Linked DNA regions of Macaca mulatta. The protein of the gene in region 2 purifies or fractionates together with the protein of the main gene of each other region. This does not show direct contact. Links are inferred from orthologs where the notes say so. Each region holds a gene or a part of one and is shown on either strand. Other genes may lie near its edges.

Region 1 (8,228 bases), on a different chromosome or scaffold from region 2:
ATATTGTTTGTGTATGTGTGTATATATAGTATAACTACGTACTTTTTGCAATTAAAAAAACACACAAACATACACAATGAGAGAGAGAGAGACCTACCCCCTCCAAGTGGTATTTAAGAAAAGAATCTTTCTAGAATGATGGATGCAGCTGTGTTCATAGTGGATGGTTGACTTAATGACCTCACTTGCCCCTGGCATTCATCCCATGATTAATAGGCTGCCTCAAACTCCTCAGGCTCTGTGTTCCTTTATGAGCAGGGAGCTGGAAGAATCATTCAGAATAAAGTAAGTATTACAATTTCTGCAGAGGCAAACGAATTGCATAGTTGTGTTTGGAGATACAATTGCAACTCTTTTCCCATTTCTCAATAAGCTAATATGAAGACTCAGTTGTAGATGTCAGAAACCCAATCAAGAAATATTTCACCTTTTTTTTCAGAATTGCTTCAAGATATAAAGGAATGGCTGGCTTTTTTTTTTTTATTAGAAAAAATACAAATAATACATGAGCATTGTAAAAATTCAAACAATACTCATGTGTATAAAATAAAAAGTGAAAGTTCTCCCTTCAAATTACACTCACCAGGGTAATAACTGCATATAATTTGACACTAGAATACCTGTAAATAAGTATTTACAGGTATTTCCATTCATTTTCAAATATTCATCATTAAACAAAATGGCATCAGGCTACAGATAAAAAAGCATTTTTATTTTCACTTAATTTATCTTGGGCCATGGAATATATAGGTATATTTAGATTTGTCTCATTCTTTTTATGGGTGAACAATATTCCACTGTGACTGTCCAATTTTTTTTTTTTTTTGAGACAGAGTTTTGCCCTTGTTGCCCAGGCTGGAGTGCAGTGGCGTGATCTCAGCTCACTGTAACCTCTGCCTCCTGGGTTCAAGCGATTCTCTTGCCTCAGCCTCCTGAGTACAGGTGCCTCCTTCACGCCCAGCTAATTTTTTGTGTTTAGTAGAGACCGGGTTTCACCATGTTGGTCAGGTTGGTCTCAGGTGATCCACCCACCTCGGCCTCCCAAAGTGGTGGGATTACAGGCATGAGCCACCACACCCAGCCCAACGTCTCCACTTTTAGACATGTAAGTTGGTCCTCTTTTGTGTTGTTTGTGTTGTAGTGCTGCAACACTAACTATCCTTTTTTTTTTTTTTTTTTTGAGACGGAGTCTTGCTCTGTTGCCCAGGCTGGAGTGTAATGGTGTGATCTTGGTTCACTGCAACCTCTGCCTCCTGGGTTCAAGTGATTCTCCTGCCTCAGTCTCCCCAGTAGCTGGGATTACAGGCGCATACCACCACGCCCAACTAATTTTTGTATTTTTAGTAGAGACGGGGTTTCACCATGTCAGCCAGGCTGGTCTTGAACTCCTGACCTTGTGATCCGCCTGCCTTGGCCTCCCAAAGTGCTAGGATTACAGGCGTGAGCCACTGTGCCCGGCAACACTGAATATCTCTGTACACAAATATTAGGACAGTGTGTACAAACATGTCTTCTGGACATATTCAAAAGGTTATGCACACTTAATTTTAACAGATATTAAAATTGTTCTCTATAAAAAGGTTGTACAACTTAGAACCTTACCCCTAATTTATACTTTCTCATTGTTTCTTATTTCACATTTTCCTAATTACCATCTAGGTTGAGGATATTTTCATATTTATTGGCCATTCGTGTTGCTTCTTTTGTGAATTGTTTTTCTTAAGTCTTTGGTCTTGTTTTTTGAGACAGAGTCTCTCTCTGTTGCCCAGGCTGGAGTGCAGTGCCGCAATCTTGGCTTACTGCAACCTCCGCCTCCTGGGTTCAAGCAATTCTCCTGCCTCAGCCTCCCGAGTAGTACAGGCGCCTGCCACCACACCCAGCTAATTTTTTGTATTTTTAGTAGAGATGGGGTTTCACCATATTGGCCAGGCTGGTCTCGAACTCCCGACCTCTTGATCTGCCCGCCTCGGCCTCCCAAAGTGCTGGGACTACAGGCGTGAACCCCCGCGGCCTGCCGGGTCTTTTAAAAATGATATTGCTCCCCCCGCCCCCCTCCCATTGGTTTGTAGGAATATCTTCTAAGTTATAGATATTAACTTTTTCCTTTTTTCTGTCTATAAGGTCCAAAATAGTAACTATTTCTACAATTGAAACATCCTCAACTTACATTTATTGTGGAGCATGAGAATGACTTTCACCACATAGAGACTTGTAATCTTATGTAGTCAAATCTGTCACGTCTTTTCTTATACTGCTTCTGGGTTCCCTGTCACACTTAGAAACACATCTCTTCCAAAAATTACAAAAAAATTTTTTACTTTTTCTTCCATGTTTATATCTTTTTTTTTTTCTTTTTTTGAGACGGAGTTTTGCTTTTGTTGCCCAGGCTGGAGTGCAATGGCACGATCTCGGCTCACGGCAACCTCTGCCTCCCGGGTTCAAGTGATTCTCCTGCCTCAGCCTCCAGAGTAGCTGGGATTACAGGCGCCCGCCACCACGCCCCGCTAATTTTGTATTTTTAGTAGAGACGGAGGTTTCTCCATGTTGGTCAGGCTGGTCTCGAACTCCCGAGCTCAGGTGATCCGCCCGCCTTGGCTCCCCAAAGTGCTGGGATTACAGGCGTGAGCCACTGCGCCCAGCCGATTCTTACATCTTTAATCCAACCATATATTATTTTTGTGAAGGATGGAGGTAAGTCTCCCCTCAAGTTAATTTTTCTCCAATCTGGCTTGCAGGAAAGGGGTTTCTGGGGAGATTTTACTGAGCAACGTAGGGAAACGGCTGCCTGGCGACCTACCCCTTTTTGACACCCACACGTGCTCGGCACCTTACATACACTGCGTGATTTTATCCTAAAGCGAGTTTTAAAATCCCAGTGCGTAGACAGAGAAACTGGGCGTCACATAACGTAAGTGACCTGCACAGTCGGCGTCGGAGGAGACAAGCGCCGAGCTCAAGGAACCCGGCACCGCGCCCGCTTTCCAACCTCTCGCGACAGTTGTACGTCATTCGAGAGCGCCGTGGAAGTCGCGCAGCCGGCGTCGCGCCAATCTTCGCTAGTAGGTGCTGTCTCACCGGTGAGACCTGGAAGCCGGCGAGTCTCGCGCTTTGTCGGACCTGCAGCCCCTGGCCTCCCGCCACCATGGAGTACCTAATCGGTATCCAAGGCCCCGACTATGTCCTTGTCGCCTCCGACCGGGTGGCCGCCAGCAATATTGTCCAGATGAAGGACGGTGAGAGGAAGCAGGGGAGGCCCGGCCAGGCCTGGGGTGTCGGGGCGACCAGAGGGAGTTTGTCGGGGGTTGAATGTGTGCCAGGGAGGATCGAAGAGGTGGAAGCCGGCCTGCCCTGCCCATACTTACTTAATTAATTACTTTATTTTTTTCGAGATGGAGTTTCGCTCTTACTGCCCAGGCTCTAGTGCAATGGCACTATCTCGGCTCACCACAACCTCAGTCTCCCGGGTTCAAGCGATTCTCGTGCCGCAGCCTCCCGAGTAGCTGGTATTATAGGCATGCGCCACCACACCCGGCTAATTTTTGTATTATTAGTAGAGATGGGGGGGGTTTCTCTGTATTGGTCAGGCTGCTCTCGAACTCCCGACCTCAGGTGATCCCGCCGTCTCGGCCTCCCAAAGTGCTGGGATAACAGGCGTGAGCCGCTGTGCTCGGCCTTTTTTTTTTTTTTTTTTTTTTTTTTTTTAAAATAACGGAAGCAACAGGCAGACAAGTCTGGGGCCTTGGCATTTGCTCCTCCCGGGCTCCTAGGTCAGTGCTCTGCTCTGGCCTTCGCTAAATGCTTCTTGCTTGGTGAGAGTTGCCTAAAGGGAATCTGTTTATAAATGTTTAAGCGCCTGCCCAGAACCTGGCTCTCTAGATCCCCGAATCTCTTATAAAAGTTTCCTGTTGTCGCTAGTAATGAGGTTTGTTGGCGACATAAGGTGGGATCCTGGGGACAGTCAGACTGTGATACCAGAAGCTTGTCATTTTCTTTCCGCTGCCCGTATCTCCCGGTGGCTCCCGATTCTTCTTTTTCAGCTTTCCAGGACAATGGCTGCCAGGTTTTCCTTATATTTAAGTAGTTAATGGAGTTAGGAGATTGGAGCCCTGTCATTTATTTGCCTTATGACTTTGATTAAGTTATTTCGCAGTGCCCAGATTTCCTCATCTTTAAGATTAGCAATACCAAACTCACAGACTTGTCGGGAGGATTGAGTAAATGAGTTATGCGCAAATCCTTCGCACTAGACAGGTACTTAATACTAAGCATACACAGGTGCCCAAACATTTGTCAAATGAACATTAAGTCATCTGAACCAGAGCTTAATACTTTTTCAACAGTAGCACGTCTTTGATCAATTAAGGAAAACAAACTTAGATTCTGCAGGAAAAACAACCAAAATCTTCTTAAAATTATGTATTGAGTAATTTACTGTAGAGAGACGGTATAGTACAGTAGTTAGGGGCAAAATATCTGGACTCACTGCATAGGTTGAACCCAGGTTCTGCCTCATGTGACCTGAAGTAAGTTTCTCCAACTCCGTGCCCTAAAGCTAGCATCTATAAGGTGGTGATGTAATAGCACCTATCTTAAAAGGTTAATGAATTGATGGAAATCGCTTAACACAGCACCTGATACTTTATGAAATTCTATGATTAGTTTGTAGAAGTTTTGTTTGTAAGCTAGTCCTCCCAAAGGAGTGAATTTGTTTTGAGAGTAAATTTGTCCATTATTTTGAATTCTGAGGTCTTTGACAAGCAAGTGATTTTAGCATTAAGTCATGTCTAGGTAGAACAATAATCATTACCTTTACAGGTCTTTTGTTTCATCCCAAAAATGTATGTGAAATCACATTGAAAAGAAGAACGTGCTTTAAGCCTACTTATGTACACAGTACTTTTAGTCATTATAGGGGATGCAGTATATTACTTATAACCCATAGAAGAGTCCAAGACATTAAGAAAACAAGGAAATAAATACTGCAAGATGATTTTATGTGGTAAAAGAAGTATTACTAGTTAGTATTAGGTTGGTTTTTAAATTAATGAGTTCAAGAGCAAATCCTAAGTAATAAAAGAATGATCACTATGGTATGGGAGAAAGACGAATTTGAGTTAGTTCTTGAAAAATAGTTGGAAATCATTGCACTCCACACATTCTGATTTTCCCTATGGTCTTTCCTGGTATAAAAACATTTATAATATAAATTTTAGTATTGTATGATGACTTTATTTATTTTTGAGATGGAAGCTCGCTCTGTCACCCAGGCTGGAGTGCAATGGCGTGATCTTGGCTCACTGTGACCTCAGCCTCCTGGGTTCAAGCTATTCTCCTGCCTCAGCTTCCCCAGCAGCTGGGACTACAGGCACCCGCCACCACACTCGGCTAATTTTTTTGTCTTTTTTAGTAGAGACGGGGTTTCACCGGGTTAGCCAGGCTGGTCTCAAACTCCTGACCTCAGGTGATCCACCTGCCTTGACTTCCCAAAGTGCTGAGATTACAGGCATGAGCCACTGTGCCCGGCCGTATGATGACTTTTTTCTAATCATTCATTTAATGATGGAGCTTGTTTAGAGTAGGCAAGAATGCTGCAAAATAATAACCTTCTGGGACTCCTTTCTCCAAGTTTAAATGATAATACAACTTCTAATCAATTGTCCAGTATATCACTTTGTATAAACATTTTGATACTATAGAGTAGACATTTGCTGAGGACTGCCACCTTATTAAGCGGTAACAACTTGTGGTTTGCTTATGTGCTGCATTTCATGTCTCTTCTCTTGGCCTATGTAGAATTGCTTTTAAGTTACTCGAAGTACTCCAGCCCACACAGAATTCTCTCTTTTCTGAATTCCTATAGCATGTATGATCTGAGCTACATTATCTAACACTGAGTATCATAATATTGGACATGTATAGAATTCATTAATTTTTCTCACTTGTGAGTTAGACAGGGGTAAGTGATGTTATTAACATTTCGCACATCTGGAAACTGGGGCTTAGAGAGGACAAGTAATTTGCTGAAGTTCAGAGTGCCAAGTCCACGTCATAACCAAGGTCTCTTGGATTCTAGTCCAGTTGGTTTTCCACAGTATGACATGCTAATGTTGTTCATTTTGTTGTCCATTTGTTTCATGTATGTGGATCTTGTAAGTTCCTTGTCAAGAATCAGAAATTCCCCAGAGCTACACAGGCAGTTTCCTGTACAACTCAGGGGTCTCTTAGTATCTATCTCTTGTGTTTTTATTAAATATGTTGCCTTCTGCGACTCATTGGTCATAGTGTTTAAAAAACATTTTTGGCCTTGTATTAAGCTAATTTTAAAATGGAACAGGTTACTGCCTAGATTTTTAGCCTTTCTTCTAAGTGTGACATAAGTTCTTTGTGAACAAGCTCCCCCCTCAAATAAAAATAGCTTTTTTCTTATTTTAATGATATTGCCAACTTATTGAATAATGTTTTCTTATAAAAGTGAGGCATATTAAGTATAGAAGTTTTAGGAAATACCGATAAGCAAAAAGAAGGGAACAAAAACTGCCCATACTCTTACCACTGGCAAGCACTTAGCATATACCCTTCTGCTCCTTTTTTTTTGCATAGATAATATAAGCGAACGTTTTTCTCTTACTAATATTGCAAACTAACAGTCTTTAATGTAACCTGTACAACAAATAAAAGTGTGTTTGTTCAGGAGTTTTGAGGCAATTTGGTGCTATCTACAGGTGCATTTTGTGTGTTTTTTCCCTCCAAGTCTAAGAAGCCATATTACTGGTATCTACAACTCTGAAACACTTGTAAAGTATTTGACAGTAGCATTTTGTTCTTTAAATCCTATTAAAGGATTTTGACATTTCAGAAGCTTTCAAACAGGAAACATGTCTCCCAGGGAAGATTATTCAGCACTATTTGAAAAATGAAAAGTGAAAGTGAGAGTGAGATAGGAAGATTTAGGCCTTTTCTGAAGCTGCAGACTGAATGTGGAGTTTTCTACCTTAGGCAATAACTGTAACCTGAATATTTATCTATCTAATCTGAATGAGTCTGGTTCAGCTAGATAAGATTAGAGTATTAGGATTTTTGTGAGGTATTTTAAGTAGCTTACTGTCAAAATATTCACTAGAATTTTTGCTTTGGCAATCGTTTTAATTTTCTCTTTTTCTTTGGCAATGGAATTTGTTTACTTTTTAAAGTGATTAATATTCTCAGTTGATTTTCTATTCTTTCTTGAGATGGTTCCTTAATTTTAATTGTAGCATCAGTCCCTTTCATATATACTTTTGTGTGTGTATAAATATAATAACTAACATTTGTAGTTGTGGAAACATTTTAGGGCTTTGTTATCATGAGCCTAAAGATAATCGCCATTGGCTGGATTCCTTCAGTTTTTTCTGTTCTGTTCCTTGCATTTCAAATGCTTTTCAATGCTTTAACTTGTATTTTTAATTGGTAGCTTTCATGTATATTCTTCAACTGAAATTGACACTACACAATATGCTGATGGTTTAACATGAAGAATGAAAGAGATAAATTGATACCATTACCTATTAAAATCTTCTAAAAGCAATGATTAGTGAAATTATTCAATATACAGTCGTCCCTTGGTATCTGTAGGGATTGTTTCCAGAACCCCTGCAGATACCCAAATCTGTAGAAGCTTAAAGTTCCTTATATACATGGTATAGTATTTGCATATTACCTATGCAGATACTCCTGTGTACTTCAAATCATCTCTAGATTATTTATAATACTTAATATGACATAAATGCTATGTAAATAGTTGTTATACTGTATTGTTTAAGGAATAATGACCAGAAAAAAAGTCAGTACATGTTCAGGATAGATGCAAGCATCTATTTTTTTTTTTTTTCTGAATACTTTTGATCCATAGGTGGTTGAATTGTGGATTCAGAATCCACGGATATGGAAGGCCAACTGTAGTAATTAATAAACCTGTTTATGGTTGCATAAATAATGACTGTCAATTTCTGTTAAGGCAGTTTCTAACAGTTTTTTTTTTTTTTTTGAGCAGATCATGACAAGATGTTTAAGATGAGTGAAAAGATATTACTGCTGTGTGTGGGAGAGGCTGGAGACACTGTACAGTTTGCAGAATATATTCAGAAAAACGTGCAACTTTATAAGATGCGAAATGGTGGGTAAGACTTACGAGTTTTGGTTGGCATATTACTAGTTTACTAGGGCTGCCATTACAAAAGTCACAGACTGGG
Region 2 (7,692 bases):
AAGTTTTTCTACTTAAAGAGACAAATAATAGATTTTTAAAAACTCATTTATAGAAAGTACCTAGTCCTATGTTTAACTTAAAATGAGATCTATCAGGCGTAGGGCTGTTTTGACCTTTTTCTTTTTCTGTTTTTTTTTTTTTATTTCAGCTAATTGTAGAGATTTCTTCTGTGTCACCAGAATCTTTAAACTACTGTACCACAAGTGGATTGGTAACGCAGCTCCTGAGAGAGCTGACTGGTGAGGATGTGTTGGTCAGGTGTGTTGACTGAGAGTTCTTAAAGTGAAATGTCCTCTTTTGAAGGGCTGGGAAACAACCCTGGGACGTCTGTGATTTTCTCTATTAGAGACTTTGCCCAGGTCACAATCTCATGACTGATGTGTGTCCTGAAGGAGGGACCTTTAGAAAATTGCTCAAGTTACATCATGACAACATACTGGAACTTGGCAAAGCCCCACATGACAATTCAGCTACTTTCAAGTGACTGTGTTCCCTGTCCCTAGTCCTGTGTGCTCTTAAACAGTTGCAATCACATGGTAACTGCCATTTTGAATTACTAATAGTTTGTCATATGCATTTATTTTGGCATTGTTAAATAGCAACAGTATAGCATGATAGAAAAAATACGGGCTAGGCCGGGTGTGGTGGCTTATGCCTATAATCCCAGCACGTTGGGAGGCCGAGGCGGGCGAATCACGAGATCAGGAGTTCAAGACCAGCCTGGCCAACGTTGTGAAACCCTGTCCCTACTAAAAACACAAAAATTAACCGGGCATGGTGGCATGCACCTGTAGTCCCAGCTACTCGGGAGGCTGAGGCAGGAGAATTGCTTGAACCTGGGAGGTAGAGGTTGTACCACTATACTCCAGCCTGGGCAACAGAGCAAGACTCTGTCTCAAAAGAAAAAAGAATATGGGCTTTTCAAAATGAGGAAGAGTTGGCTTGCATACCTCTCTACTATTTATTAGCTGTTAGGCCTTGGACAGGTTATTATAAGCTTTCTACATCCCAGTTTCCTCATCTCTCAGAACAGTAACTGAAAAAGATATTGTGCCGGGCACAGTGGCTTACGCCTGTAATCCCAGCACTTCGGGAAGCTGAGGCGGGTGGATTACCTGAGGTCAGGAGTTCAGGACCAGCCTGGCCAATATGGTGAAACCCCGTCTCTACTAAAAAAAATACAAAAAATTAGCCGGGCGTGGTGGCAGGGGCCCGTAATCCCAGCTACCGGGAAGGCTGAGACAAGAGAATTGCTTAAACCCGGGAGGTGGAGGTTGCAGTGAGCCAAGATCGCGCCATTGCACTCCAGCCTGGGCAACAAGAGCAAAACTCCATCTCAAAAAAATAAATAAATAAAAAGATATTGTAAGAATTAAGCTAATTGACCTTAGAAAGCAGTACAATGGCTGACATAGGTTCTCAAAGAAATGTTTTTTTTTTTTTTTTTTTTTTGAGACGGAGTCTCGCTCTGTAGCCCAGGCTGGAGTGCAGTGGCCGGATCTCAGCTCACTGCAAGCTCCGCCTCCCGGGTTCACGCCATTCTCCAGCCTCAGCCTCCCGAGTAGCTGGGACTACAGGCGCTGCCACCTCGCCCGGCTATTTTTTGTATTTCTTAGTAGAGACGGGGTTTCACCGTGTTAGCCAGGATGGTCTCGATCTCCTGACCTCGTGATCTGCCCATCTCGGCCTCCCAAAGTGCTGGGATTACAGGCTTGAGCCACCGCGCCCGGCCAGAAATGTTAATTCCAGTCTCTTCCACCCTTTATTCCCCCATTCCCTAAATCCCCTTTAATATCTGCCAAATGTTCCTTTGTTGATATTCCACAGCTTATTAATACCTCCTCACTGTTGAACAGTTGATTTGCTTCAAGTATTTTGCTGTTATGATAGCATTATAGTTATCTTTGTGTATATAGGTTTTGATTTTTCTTATCTTAAATGATTTTCTGATTGTCCTGTGTTCTTTAAACATGGCTGAATTTATTAAACCCATATAGTAAATCAGTCACTAGTTACATTGCTTCAGTGCATTTGAGTGTCTCAACCTAATGAGACAATTAATTTTGTTAATTATTTTTTAGCATTGTATCAAATTTTGTGACATAGGAAAAAACCCTATAAATGGTCAGTCAAAACACTTTAGGATCAATTACCAACTGTAAAAATAAATTTTTTAGTTATTTTCTTTGATCAGGGTTGGATATGAGATGATACCAAAGAATTATTGTTAATTTCTTAATATGTGGCAGTGGCATTATAATTGTGTGAGGAAACATACGTGTTTTGCAGAGATGCATACTAAAGTACGCAGGGGTAAATGGCACGGTGACTAGGATTTGCTTTAAAATAGTTCAGCAAAAAGTAGGGAAAAGAGATGAAATAAGTAAAGCAAAATCCTCATAACCATAAAATCAGGTTATGGGTATATGGGGGCTTATTGTATTCTCATTACTTTTGTGTATGTTTGATACTTCAAAATAAAACAAAATTTAAAAAAATATTTTAGGAAGCAGCTAGGTTATAGTGGAAACAATAGTGGACTTCAAATCAGAAGGTCTAGATTTAAATATAAACTCTGTCTGTAATAACAATGTGATTACAGATAAGTCACTGCAACTTTCTAGGCCTTAGGGCCTCATGTGAAAAGAGGAGCCAAGATTAAGGCCGGGCGCGGTGGCTCAAGCCTGTAATCCCAGCACTTTGGGAGGCCGAGACGGGCAGATCACGAAGTCAGGAGATCAAGACCATCCTGGCTAACACAGTGAAACCCCGTCTCTACTAAAAAATACAAAAATCTAGCCGGGCGAGGTAGCGGGCGCCTGTAGTCCCAGCTACTCGGGAGTCTGAGGCAGGAGAATGGCGTGAACCTGGGAGGCGGAGCTTGCAGTGAGCTGAGATCCGGCCACTGCACTCCAGCCTGGGCCACAGAGCGAGACTCCGCCAAAAAAAAAAAAAAAAAAAAGAAAAGAGGAGCCAAGATTATTGACCTTTCAAATATGATGGGAAGAATTAAATAAGATAACCTATATGAGAGCAATCTATAAACTATGCAAATCCTGTGCAAAAATCTTGTTTTTGTCCTTCTGACATTTTAGAGCCACCTGTATAGAAATGGTGACATCACTGGCATATACTCATCATGGACGACAGTATCTTGCTCAAGAAGGAGTAATTGACCAAATTTCTAATATAATCGTTGGGGCAGATTCAGACCCTTTCTCTAGCTTCTATTTGCCAGGTAAGAAACACTGATGCCTATGGAAATGATGGTGCATGTTTTATTTCTGAGTTATCTCTGACGGCAGGGGGTTGGGGTTGGGAGTGGACAGGGATTGTTTCCCTTAGAGCTGATTTCGTTTAGAAGATATCTAGAGCTACCAAATTCAAATTCAACAGCACATTAAAAAGATCATCCACCCTGATCAAGTGGGATTTATCCTAGGGATGCAGGGAGGGTTCAGCATACACAAATCAATAAATAAGATATACTACATTGACAGAATAAAGATGGAAACCAAGTAATGCGGGGAAAAGCGTTTGACAAATTTTAGCTTTCTTTTATAATAAAAACTCTTAACAAATTAAGTATAGAAGAAATCTATCTCAACACAATAAAGGCCAAGTATGACAAACCCACAGCTAACATACTCAGTGAAAAGTTGAAAGCGTTCCTCTAAGATCAGGAACAAGGCCGGGCGTGGTGGCTCACACCTGTAATCCCAGCACTCTGGGAGGCCAAGGCAGGTGGATCACAAGGTCAGGAGATCGAGACCATCCTGGCTAACACAGTGAAACCCCGTCTCTACTAAAAATACAAAAAAATTAGCTGGGCATGGTGGCACACGCCTGTAGTCCCAGCTACTCAGGAGGCTGAGGCAGGAGAATCCCTTGAACATTGGAGGTAGAGATTGCAGTGAGCCAAGATCGCTCTACTGCATTCCAGCCTGGGCGACAAAGTGAGACTCCATCTCAAAAAAAAAAAAAAAAAAAGGAACAAGACAAGGATGTCCACAATTACCACTTCTATTCAACAAATTACAAGAAGTTATAGCCAGAGCAATTAGGCAAGATAAAAAAAACAAAAGGCATCCAAATCAGAAAGAAAGAAGTGAAAATGTCCCTATTTGTAAATGATGTAGTGTTATATTAATATATAGAATAAAGATTCCACCAAAAAACTGTTAGAATGAATAAATAAATTCAGTAAAACTGCAGGATACAAAATCGGTGCATAAAAATCAGTAGCATTTCTATACACTAACAGTGAACTCTGAAAAAGTAATAAAAGATACATTCCCATTTACAATAGCATTCAAAAAAATTAACTATTTATGAATAAATTTAAGGAGGTGAAAGATCTATACGGTGAGAACTATAAAAACTGATGAAGGAAATTGAAGAAGACACAAATAAATGGAAAGGTATCCTATGTTCATGGATTGGAAGAATTAATATTATTAAAATGTTGGTGCTGCCAAAGCACCATATAGATTCAGTGCATTCCCCACCAAAATTCTTAAATTTAATGACATTTTTCACGAAAGCAGAAAAAAAATTAAAAATACGCGTATTTCAGAATACATTGTTCACAATAAAGATATATGATTTTTTAATTTGTCAGTTAAAAGTTAATTTTATTAAAAAGATACCTGTAGCCTCTTACTGAGGTGGAATCTGTTGCTCTGGGAGCTATGTACTGTTGACTTTGATTTTCAGGAAACATCAGTGCTATTTAGAATATTAGGAAATTTTTCTTTTGAATATCAACAAAAAAATAAAAATACTAGTAATGACATTTACAGTATGTTTCACAGATTAATCAAGTCTCTGAGTGGGAATCTTTATTGTAGGATCTACTCTTGCCATTCTATTCTGGGTCTTGGTTAATTAGTCTTTCTTGAACACTTCCAGAAATTGGAGATGTATGCCTTCCTTAGGTAGCCTAGCTACCTAGCTACCTATTTCATTTATTAATGAACATATCCACTTAAAAATTTCTTCCTGGTAATGAGTCTAAACTTGCCTTCCTATAATTTGTATCCACTGGTCCTTTTTCTTTGTTCTCCCTCTTGCATATGCCAGTACTTCAATAGCTGGTCCCAGCTCCATTGACACCCTCTCTCAGGATCACACATCACAGGTCCTTCAGAATCTCCTAATGGTCTCTCTGATCTCCAAGCAACACACTACTGTAACCTTTCTACGCTTTCTGGCCTGCAGTTCATTTCTATTCCTGTGAAGTTATAGGGCCCACAATTCATGCTGTCTTGTTCCCCTATTAAAATATATTCTTGTAAATCTCTTTAGGATTCGTGAAGTTTTTTGGAAACCTGGCTGTCATGGATAGTCCTCAACAGATCTGTGAGCGTTATCCTATCTTTGTGGAAAAAGTCTTTGAAATGACAGAAAGTCAGGACCCCACTATGACTGGTGTAGCTGTAGACACAGTTGGAATCTTGGGATCCAATGTTGAAGGAAAACAGGTTTTACAGAAAACAGGTTGGTATGACTTGGCCCTGTTCAGGGATATCTTAATTTTTGACAGGGGTTCAATGTGTAAGTTCATTTACTGGTGGGTTAACTACATTGTAGAAACTATTTTATGGGTGGCAGTCTTGTTAACCATAACCTTGGACTCATATCTGAAAGTCTAATAATTACTATGGAAAACCTTTTTTTTTTTTTTTTTGACTTTTCACTGTTTAGGTTTCTACCAATCTATTTCAACCAAACATTGTTTCCTGTTTCCCCTCTGTGTCTTCTTTGACTAGATTTCATGGTACAGATGATGGGCTAGAATCAAAAAGGCCTGAATTCATGTCCTTGGGTTTTCTATTTCTTTCTTTCTTTTCTTTCTTTCAGATTGGGAGTGTCTCTCTGTTATACAGGCTGGCTTCAAACTCTCAGGCTCAAGCAATCCTCCTGCCTCATCCTCTTGATTGGCTGGGTCTGCAGGTCCACACCATTGTGTCCAGCCCTGACTTTGCTTTTTGAACTTCATTTACTCACTTTGCTTTTCTAGGCCTCATTTTCTTCATTTATAAAAATGGCATAACAACTACTTCTCAGGGTTGTTGGGAGTATTTACAAAATTTTGGGTTTTTTTGTAATGTCAAGAAAGGAAAATAAAAGTTTGTTATATGATTTCATGTTAAGAGATACTTTTGGCATGTTACGAGATACAGTAGCTCATGCCTGTAATCCAGCACTTTGGGAGGCCAAGGTGGGTGGATTGCCTAAGCTCAGGAGTTCAAGACCAGGCTGGGCAACATGGCAAAATCCTGTCTCTACTCAAGAATACAAAAATTAGTCAGGCATGGTACTGTGCAACTGTAGTCCCAGCTACTTGAGAGGCTGAGGCAGGAGAATTGCTTGAACCTGGCAGGTGGAGGTTGCAGTGAGCTGAGATCGTGCCACTACACTCCAGCCTGGGTGACAGAGTGAGATTCTATCTCAAAAAAAAAAAAAAAAAAAAAAGAGGCCAGGCAAGGTGGCTCATGCCTGTAATCCCAGCATTTTGGGAGGCCAGAGCAGGTGGATCACTTAAGGTCAGGAGTTCGAGACCAGCCTGGCCAACATGGTGAAACCCCATCTCTACTAAAAATACAAAAATCAGCTGAGCATGGTGGCGCATGCCTGCAGTCCCAGCTACTCGGGAGGCTGAGGCAGGAGAATGGCTTGAACCCAGAAGGCAAAGGTTGCAGTGAGCCAAGATCATACCACTGCACTCCAGCCTGGGTGACAGTGCGAGACTCTGTAAAAAGAAAAAAAAAAAAAAAAAAGATACTTTTATGGAACATCCATGAGAATCAACAGCACAACAAATTATACACACAAAATAATATGCAGCCCAATTACTAAAATTCTTGAGACACATATGTTGAAAATTATCTCACCTGTAATCCCAGCACTTTGGGAGGCCAAGAGGGGAGGATTGCTTGAGCCCAGGAATTCAAGACTAGCCTTGGCAACAACAACAAAAAAATTGGCCAGGTGTGGTGGCACATGCCTATAGTCCCAGCCACTCGGGAGACTGAGGTGGAAGACTCATTTGAGCCCAGGAGATGAAGGCTGCAGTGAGCCTTGATCACTCCATTGCACTGCAGCCTAGGTGACAGAGTAAGACTCCATCTCAAAAAAAATTTAAAAAGAGGCCGGGCAAGGTGGCTCATGCCTGTAATCCCAACACTTTGGGAGGCCAAGGCGGGTGGATCGCCTGAGGTCAAGAGTTTGAGACCAGCCTGGCCAACAGTCTCTACTAAAAATACAAAAATTAGCTGGGTGTGGTGGCAGGCACCTGTAATCCCAGCTACTCAGGAGGTTGAGGCAGGAGAATCGCTTGAACCTGGGCAGTGAGCCGAGATCGCGCCATTGCACTCCAGCCTGGGCGACACAGCGAGACTCCATCTCAAAAAACTAAAAATTAGAGAATAGAAAAAGAAAATACGGCCGGGCGCGGTGGCTCAAGCCTGTAATCCCAGCACTTTGGGAGGCCGAGACGGGTGGATCACGAGGTCAGGAGATCGAGACCATCCTGGTGAACACAGTGAAACCCCGTCTCTACTAAAAACTACAAAAAACTAGCCGGGCGAGGTGGCGGGCGCCTGTAGTCCCAGCTACTCGGGAGGCTGAGGCAGGAGAATGGCGTGAACCCGGGAGGCGGAGCTTGCAGTGAGCTGAGATCAGGCCAC

What was found. Proteins that work in one complex are often made in the same cells at the same time.
Region 1: the proteins of PSMD5 (region 2) and PSMB2 fractionate together in Homo sapiens (co-fractionation; 3 studies listed by BioGRID). This does not show direct contact. The link is inferred for Macaca mulatta from reciprocal best matches to the Homo sapiens genes PSMD5 and PSMB2.

The regions. Positions count from the first base shown.
Region 1 is NC_133406.1:205,188,388-205,196,615, forward strand, and holds the start of PSMB2 (proteasome subunit beta type-2), read left to right. Parts: upstream 1-3,039; 5' UTR 3,040-3,142; coding exon 3,143-3,233; intron 3,234-8,029; coding exon 8,030-8,152; intron 8,153-8,228. UniProt on the Homo sapiens protein: Non-catalytic component of the 20S core proteasome complex involved in the proteolytic degradation of most intracellular proteins. This complex plays numerous essential roles within the cell by associating with different regulatory particles.
Region 2 is NC_133420.1:37,373,237-37,380,928, forward strand, and holds part of PSMD5 (26S proteasome non-ATPase regulatory subunit 5), read left to right. Parts: intron 1-149; coding exon 150-259; intron 260-3,096; coding exon 3,097-3,239; intron 3,240-5,308; coding exon 5,309-5,500; intron 5,501-7,692. UniProt on the Homo sapiens protein: Acts as a chaperone during the assembly of the 26S proteasome, specifically of the base subcomplex of the PA700/19S regulatory complex (RC).